2 linked regions of the Drosophila melanogaster genome follow. The protein of the gene in region 1 interacts with the protein of each later gene in a biochemical or structural test. Each region holds a gene or a part of one and is shown on either strand. Other genes may lie near its edges.

Region 1 (3,754 bases):
ATCCCTGGCTGGACATGAGCGATGTACACAAGGAGACCACGGAGAACGTGCGCATTACCGTGATTCCCTTCTACATGGGTTGCCGGGAGACGCCTGCTAGTTCGGTCTACTGGGTGCGTTAATAAGAAACTCCTTTCTTTAGTTTAACGTCATAAAGTACCTTTCCAGTGGCGCTACTGCATCCGACTGGAGAACCTCGGCGAGCTGAGCGTGCAGCTGCGCGAGCGCCACTGGCGCATTTTCTCACTGTCTGGAACCCTGGAGACGGTGCGCGGAAGAGGAGTGGTGGGCCAGGAGCCCATTCTGAGCCCCCGGCTGCCCGCCTTTCAGTACAGCAGCCATGTGAGCCTGCAGGCTCCCAGCGGCCATATGTGGGGCACCTTCCGGCTGGAGCGCGAAGACGGATACTCCTTCGATTGCAAGATTCCGCCCTTCTCACTGGAGAGCAAGCCGGACGACCTAGGGACGCCCACACCGGCCACGCCCAGTGCCCACGATAAAAAGCGCGACGATAGCGATTAAGAGGCAGTTGTTCACCCGTAGTTAAATGATTTTAAAACGCAATCTTTTCTGACAATGCATGCGTACATGTGTTTAGTGCAAATTACAATAATCAACAAGGACGCAGAGCCAGTTTTGATTCTCAGCCAAGTCGCACGGTCTTTGGTTCTAGCTGAATGGCAAAGTCAAAGGGTCTCCGGTTGTCGCGGGTGTCAAAGATGCTCTGCAGAGCGTCGAGTGCCGCAGTCTCTGTGGCTGTTTTCACATCTTCACCGAATCCCTTGCCCAGTAGCTGCCGGTTGGCGTAGATGCCTACTTGGTAGGCGGCTAGCACAGTGTTCTTTCCGCAGTCTCCAAGCAGGCGGGGCTCCGCTTCGCCCAGCTTTCGCTCCTGGCATATCTTCTCCAGCAGCTGGATTGGTTCCTGGGGAGTCCACACCTCCAACAGGTCCTTTTGATTCAGTTGCGTGCAGATGAAATCGCGTACAAAAATGAAAGCCCTCTCGATTCCACTGGAACTGGCCAGGGCGCCAATAACTGCGTGTAAAGATTTGGCCTGACTTTCGGCCGAGGGCGGGTATTCCGTAGACTGTATCAGATCCTTTGTGCCCAGGTGGGTCGAGACGTGAGCAAGCGTTTCGGTGCTAAGTAGATAACTGGCGATCGCCTGGAGTCCTTCATTAGGGACCTTCGGTAACTGGTGCTGCAGGAAGGCCTCAACGTAGGCACGGGCAATTTGTTGGCCCTTCTCGACCAGATCGCTATTGTGAGGCATCTGGAGGTCAGACTCCTCAATGCCTAGCTGCCGACGACGATCCTCCTCCCGCTCTGCAAACGATTTCTCTGTAAAAGCACGCTGCAGCTCCGACAATTCAAAGGATTCGCCCAAACGCTTGCCGAACGCGAAGAGCTCCGATCGCTGGTTCCACTCCACGAACCCAGAACGCCGCTCTGGCTTTTGTGGTCCTAGTTTCTTCTGCCGGTGGGCGAGCTCACGTAACGTTGGCGAAACCCATCGCTTGATGTGGCGCCTCGTTTGCACTGCCGAAAATCACGATTACTGACTGGCATTAGGTGAATCCGGGTTACTCACCAGTCGGTGAGCCCTCCAAGAGCTTGACACGAGCCAGGAGACCAACAGCACTGCGTAAGAATGACATCTTTAAAGCGATCTTAAAAATAAGTAACGAATATGTTTTCGCGCATGGGAACTAGTGTTGCACGGGTTTTTGTGGCAGTGATGGCAGTCTAACCGTAAATATAATTTTATAACTTATAACTTAACTTATACATTTTAATAATATTTGTTTCTTGTTGTTTCTATATTTATTCAGAGATGTATAATTAAAAAAAAATAATAATAACTAAATATGTTTCTTTATGAATTATAATTTTATCATTTAATCGAGTAATTATAACGAAAAATACTTTCAGCTTTTTATTTAGCGTTTTGTAGCTAAAAGGCGCCAGTACTAAATTGCGTTGGTGGCACCCGCTCGTTTTCCAACACTCCCGCAATAGACGCCATGTACATGTCTGTGTTTGTGTATGCGCCAAGAAAATTTAAGTCGCGGAATATTAACAAGGAATCCCTGCCAGAAACAGGGCATTGAGAGACCACAGAAGAAAATATACCCAACATGGCACTGCAGACATACGGGGACAAGCCGGTGGCCTTCCAGCTGGAGGAGGGCGGCGAGTACTACTACGTGGGCTCGGAAGTGGGCAACTACATGCGCCACTTCCGCGGCATTCTGTACAAGAAGTACCCGGGAATGACCCGCATCGTCCTGTCCAACGAGGAGCGCAAGCGGCTGGCTGAGTCCGGCCTCAGCTCCCACATCTTAGCCAGCTCTGTATCGCTGCTCCGCGCCGTAGAGGTGGATGATATCATGGCCGGCAACGATGAAAAGTAAGTGGGCGTCTTACCTAAGTAATGTCCCCAGAATAGTAACTAAATAGGGCCTTTCCTAAAAATTCCAATTAACTTCGTTGATATCTACTTCCTACTAGTCCTACTTAAACGTTTGTTTTTAAATGTTTAATCCAATGGTATCAAGTAATCCTTTTATCAAATATAAGACATGTGTACATTTGGCTGAAGATTCTTCATTTTAGTAACATTGTTAATGACCACTTAGTTAAAAACCACTTATCATTCTGAAGTGAAGACGTATACAAACACACATAGCCACACACTGCCCAGTTATTTTGAAAAAATATGGAAAAATGTCATAGACATTTTTGGCAAAGCTGCCACAATAGTCTGTATGATTGACAACGATTTCCAATTGAGCACGGAGAATTGTATTATTGTCAGAATGTTGGGTAAATTTTGCCTGCTTGCAGGGCCAATCAGTCAATTTGCTAACAGTTGATTTAACTAACCATGAATCTCCGTCCCAGGTATCGCGCCGTCTCCGTGAACACTTCCGATACGCCAGTGCCGCGGGAGAGCAAGTCAAAGAAGCAGCCACAGTATGTGCCCACGATGCCGAACTCCAGCCACCTGGACGCAGTGCCACAGGCCACGCCAATCAACCGAAACCGAGTGCACACGAAGAAGGTTCGCACATTCCCGATGTGTTTCGACGACACGGATCCCACGGCTAGCCTGGAGAATGCGGCGCAGAAGGAGTGCCTGGTGCCCATTCGACTGGACATGGAGCTAGAGGGTCAAAAGCTGCGCGACACCTTCACGTGGAACAAGAACGAGAGCATGATTACTCCGGAGCAGTTTGCCGAGGTGCTGTGCGACGACCTGGACCTCAATCCCCTGCCCTTTGTGCCGGCTATTGCACAGGCCATCCGACAGCAGATCGAAGCCTTTCCCAACGATCCCCCCATCCTCGAGGAGACCTGCGACCAGCGGGTCATTGTTAAGCTGAACATTCACGTGGGCAACACCTCGCTCGTCGACCAGGTCGAGTGGGACATGTCCGAGAAGAACAACAACCCCGAGGAGTTTGCCATTAAACTCTGTGCGGAATTGGGATTGGGAGGAGAGTTTGTTACGGCCATTGCCTACAGCATTAGGGGTCAGCTATCGTGGCACTGTCGAACGTACGCCTTCAGCGAGGCCCCTCTATCAACGATTGATGTGCCCTTCCGGAATCCCAGCGACGCTGACGCATGGGCGCCATTCCTAGAGACGCTTACCGACGCCGAAATGGAGAAGAAAATCCGCGACCAGGACCGCAACACGCGCAGAATGCGACGACTGGCCAATACCACAACTGGTTGGTGATCTTCC
Region 2 (3,754 bases), on another chromosome or scaffold:
TTTCTAAAAGAAAGAAACACAACTTCTGCATGTCCTTTGTGTGTAAATGCATGTTTTGGATTGAAGATAAGGATAATGCTAGTTGATAATACTCACATGGTGCATGACATCCCGGTGCGTGGCAGGCAGATCCTCTGCGTCGACGAATCGCCCGTAGAGTGGGGCGTGGCGCTGTCTTCCGCCCCCGCTTCCGCTGCCCTGCGCTGCGTCGACGCTGCCGCCGCTGGACCCATAAGCGGACACTAGAGCGTAAGAGAAAGGAAGAGATCAGAGATACTATCAGATATCGGCGGGAATTATACAAATATATATGTGTGTATATATAATTATTGCGATGTATTTGCTTGCCGCCTTCGTTGTGCGCCGTTCTGTGCTGGTTCATTGACCGGATCGCTCGGACACCGCTCCTCTGCAAAATGCACCTGTTTTCTTGCACACCTGACTACGTCAGCGTCAAGAGTTGCCAAAACGATAATAAAAGCAAAGGGTAGGGCGAAAAGTGTGGACACACACCGCAGGAAAAACACTGCCAATTCCCATTTAAGATCTGATATAGAGCCAGCCCAGAGTCATGCATTCTTTTTTTAACTCAAGATGCAAAATTCGTTCTAAAATTAGTTGTTGAATTGGTGGTCATACTAGTGAGTTAAAGATAGTAAGCACATGATGCTGCCATATAAAAAAAAACGAATTGGAACATTTCTCTTCCTTTCCGAAGAATCTACTTTTGCTAGCAATATTTTTTTCCTGTGCATTGGCAGGCCAGCAGAGGTAAGTAAAAAAGAAGCTCTACCTTAATTTTAGAACCAGACGGAACTGAACTGAAATTATTACACAATATGCAGGCGCAGATACATAATTCTGCCGTTTGTAGATTCTATTTCCCCACGTTCCTATGACCATTTCACATGCTCACTCTTTTTGTTTTGTTGCTCTTCGCTCTTCGTTCGCTGATGGCTTGTGCAACAAAAATAGACCCAACGTTATAAACAAGAATGAAAAAATCAAGCAACAGGGTAAAACCTGTAAGTGGCAGCAGCTGTGTTTTCGATGATAATCCGCGACATTTGATATTCCAACACTCCATTTCTAATTTCCAAAAAAACATGTGGCGAGAGCAAAGATACTTTTCCTTTCTATTCGTTGACTAATTGTGCAAACGCAAAAAAAAAAGTTGTCGGTCAGTTAAACTGACATGCAACAAATTTTTCTAGGCCAACTTCTCTGTTTCATCCAATGGGCTTACTAGTATAATAGAGTGCCCGTTCCGCCTTCATTCTCGATGATGATGATGACGATCCCTGAACCATCAGCACATTGCCATCGACCCGATCTCTATCTCTATCTCCATCTTCATCTACATCCCGCTTCACATCCAACAGCACCGTGTCCCAGGCACTTTTGGGCAGGAATTTAGAGATGATCTGATGGCCAGCGTCGTCGTCATCCGCCTGATCCTGATTGCCATTTGTTGGCCAATTTCTGACACGATGCTGGCAGCCAATTTGCGCCAAATAATTGATGTAATGAGGCGGATGATGGTGATTGTGGTGGCCGTTGTGCGGATGGTGGTTCAAGCTGCTGCTGCTGCTGGTGATGATGCTGCTACTGAAGCTGCCACCAGCTGCTGCACCAACCACGAATGGCGCCCAATCCGCGGTGGCCTTGTCAACCGGATCGCCGCCATTCATTGACTGCCAATAAACCAGGGCCGTCGACATATCACTGGCAATCGGAATCGCAATCGGAATCGCGAACGCACTTTGCACTAACCGCTTCCTTTTTTCAATCAAAATGATATGCTTATTTCGTTTATTTTTATATAGTTTATTTAAGTAATTTAAGATCCATTTGGATCTGGCTGTATGAAGCGCGGTCTGTTTCGTGTGAAAATTCAGCGCAAACTGCCTCGGTTTTTGTTCCCCCAGTTCTGTCCCCAAAGTTTGCCACTCGTCGTTGTTGTTGTTGTTGTCGTCTGTTTTATTTATACGGAACCGTGTTTTCTCCCTGCTCTTTTATTTCACTTGGTGTTTTTGCACTTTTTTGCTGCACTTATGCGGAACACACGAACGAAGCCGAGCGCCGATAGCGAGATTGCAGCAACGATCATCACGATCTCGGCGTGGTAATGATCATGAAGCTAAAGTAGGGAATGCCCGGCTATCTGGCATCGGAATTCGCTATATTAACACTACACTAGACTCGTTCAGTGTTGCACAATTGCATTTGAGTAAATGGGAAATAGAAAAATCTCTTGGTGATATCTCTTGGTCAAATCCATACCTTTCGACCTTTGTTTCGGAGTGCACATCTCTGGTGTTGAAGAAGCTCAACTGATTGAAACAGTGTTGGGTAAATACCTTTCAGTATCTCCATATTGATCACAGAGTTACTTGCACTTGCTTGTGATTAACCACAAACGAATAAATCGGTTTTCTTAGGTATTCTCCCCCATTATTGTTGGTGAAAAGCTCACTTCTGGCTGGCCTTTTGTTTTCTATCACAAGTGTTTTTTTTGACAGAGGGAGTTCCGCTTTTCGTTGATAATGGCATTTCAATAATGACATGTAGCGTAGTGACATGTAGCGAATGCATGTGGGGTAAATGGGGGAACGCTGGGTGGTTGTGGGTGGGAAAGTGCTCGCACTTGTCTCGTGCGCGCAAAGATACAAATATACATACATACATACATACATACATATGTAAGTATGCATTTCTTTGTTTCGGCTTTTGCGTCGTCGGCAAGTCAAGGAAATCAAAACAAAGCAAACGAAATGTGAAATTAAAATAAAATGTAATTAACCCCAGGCAAAAAGTGTGTGTACATAATGCAGTGCGTTACAAAACTGTATAACTGGTTGAGCTGCCACTTGGCAGAGTGGGCCATAAAAATAGGAAATCGTTTTCGAAACTAAAATGCCCAGTAATGCCAAACGATTTTGAAATAATTATAAACTTGTGTTCTTTCGAGTTATGTAAATGTCTGTCTACACGCCAAGCTAATTTGTGTTTTCCATTTCGCCAAAGCAATTAAAAAATATTTTGCTTTTATAATAAACAAATTGAACGCTTGCCAATCGATGGAAGAGTTGAATAATTAATGCGTTCGGGGCCCCTCGAAAGATTCGCAGGAGCATAGCCACCAGTCCCTCTATTTATAGGGATCCCATCCGATCCGATCCGATCCGATCCTCCGTTCGCAATGTGGGATCTTTGCCCCAAAGTTCTCATGTTCGTTGTTTGTCTGTCGCGTCTCTCGGCCGAAAATAAAAATAGTTGACGACATTTTGCGTTCGCTCCCCGCCACCTTTTTGGCCACTTGCATTTTGGGCGAGGAATGAGGGGGGGGGGGGGGATAGGGCCACTACCAACAATCACACACCATCGATAATTGCATCCGGAGCAGGTGACTCACATCGTGACGTGACTGCGACTGTAATACTACTATTACCCACCACTTGACAACTTTATGAACAGATGGCGGCGCCAGCTAATCGGATACTAAAGTCTCGACATATTTGGCAAATAATGGGGAAGTCCCGCATAGACTTACGGGTTTTTCAAAACAGTGCGGATTGGAACAAATACAGACGGTGACGGTTGAGTGATAAGCAAACAGTTGGACATATTATTTACTGAATGAATGCAGTGACATTGTTGCATTCCTCGCCTGAGCAGGAAAAGCGGTGGAAATGGTGGGGAAAGGCAGCCCAAATTAGCTGTTCGAAATCTGGCCATTATTTAAAATAGCACC

The links. Proteins that work in one complex are often made in the same cells at the same time.
Region 2: of the proteins of Snr1 (region 1) and mnb, one has a biochemical effect on the other in vitro, tested with the Drosophila melanogaster proteins (one study listed by BioGRID).

What each region holds. Positions count from the first base shown.
Region 1 is NT_033777.3:5,468,918-5,472,671, forward strand, and holds the start of Snr1 (Snf5-related 1), read left to right. Parts: upstream 1-2,008; 5' UTR 2,009-2,141; coding exon 2,142-2,413; intron 2,414-2,907; coding exon 2,908-3,748; 3' UTR 3,749-3,754. Other genes in the region: POLDIP2 (polymerase (DNA-directed), delta interacting protein 2), read left to right, coding at 1-113, 169-522; mRpL44 (mitochondrial ribosomal protein L44), read right to left, coding at 644-1,542, 1,595-1,661.
Region 2 is NC_004354.4:17,873,159-17,876,912, forward strand, and holds the start of mnb (minibrain), read right to left. Parts: upstream 1,883-3,754; 5' UTR 1,722-1,882; coding exon 1,247-1,721; intron 243-1,246; coding exon 97-242; intron 1-96. UniProt on the Drosophila melanogaster protein: Role in the specific control of proper proliferation of optic lobe neuronal progeny.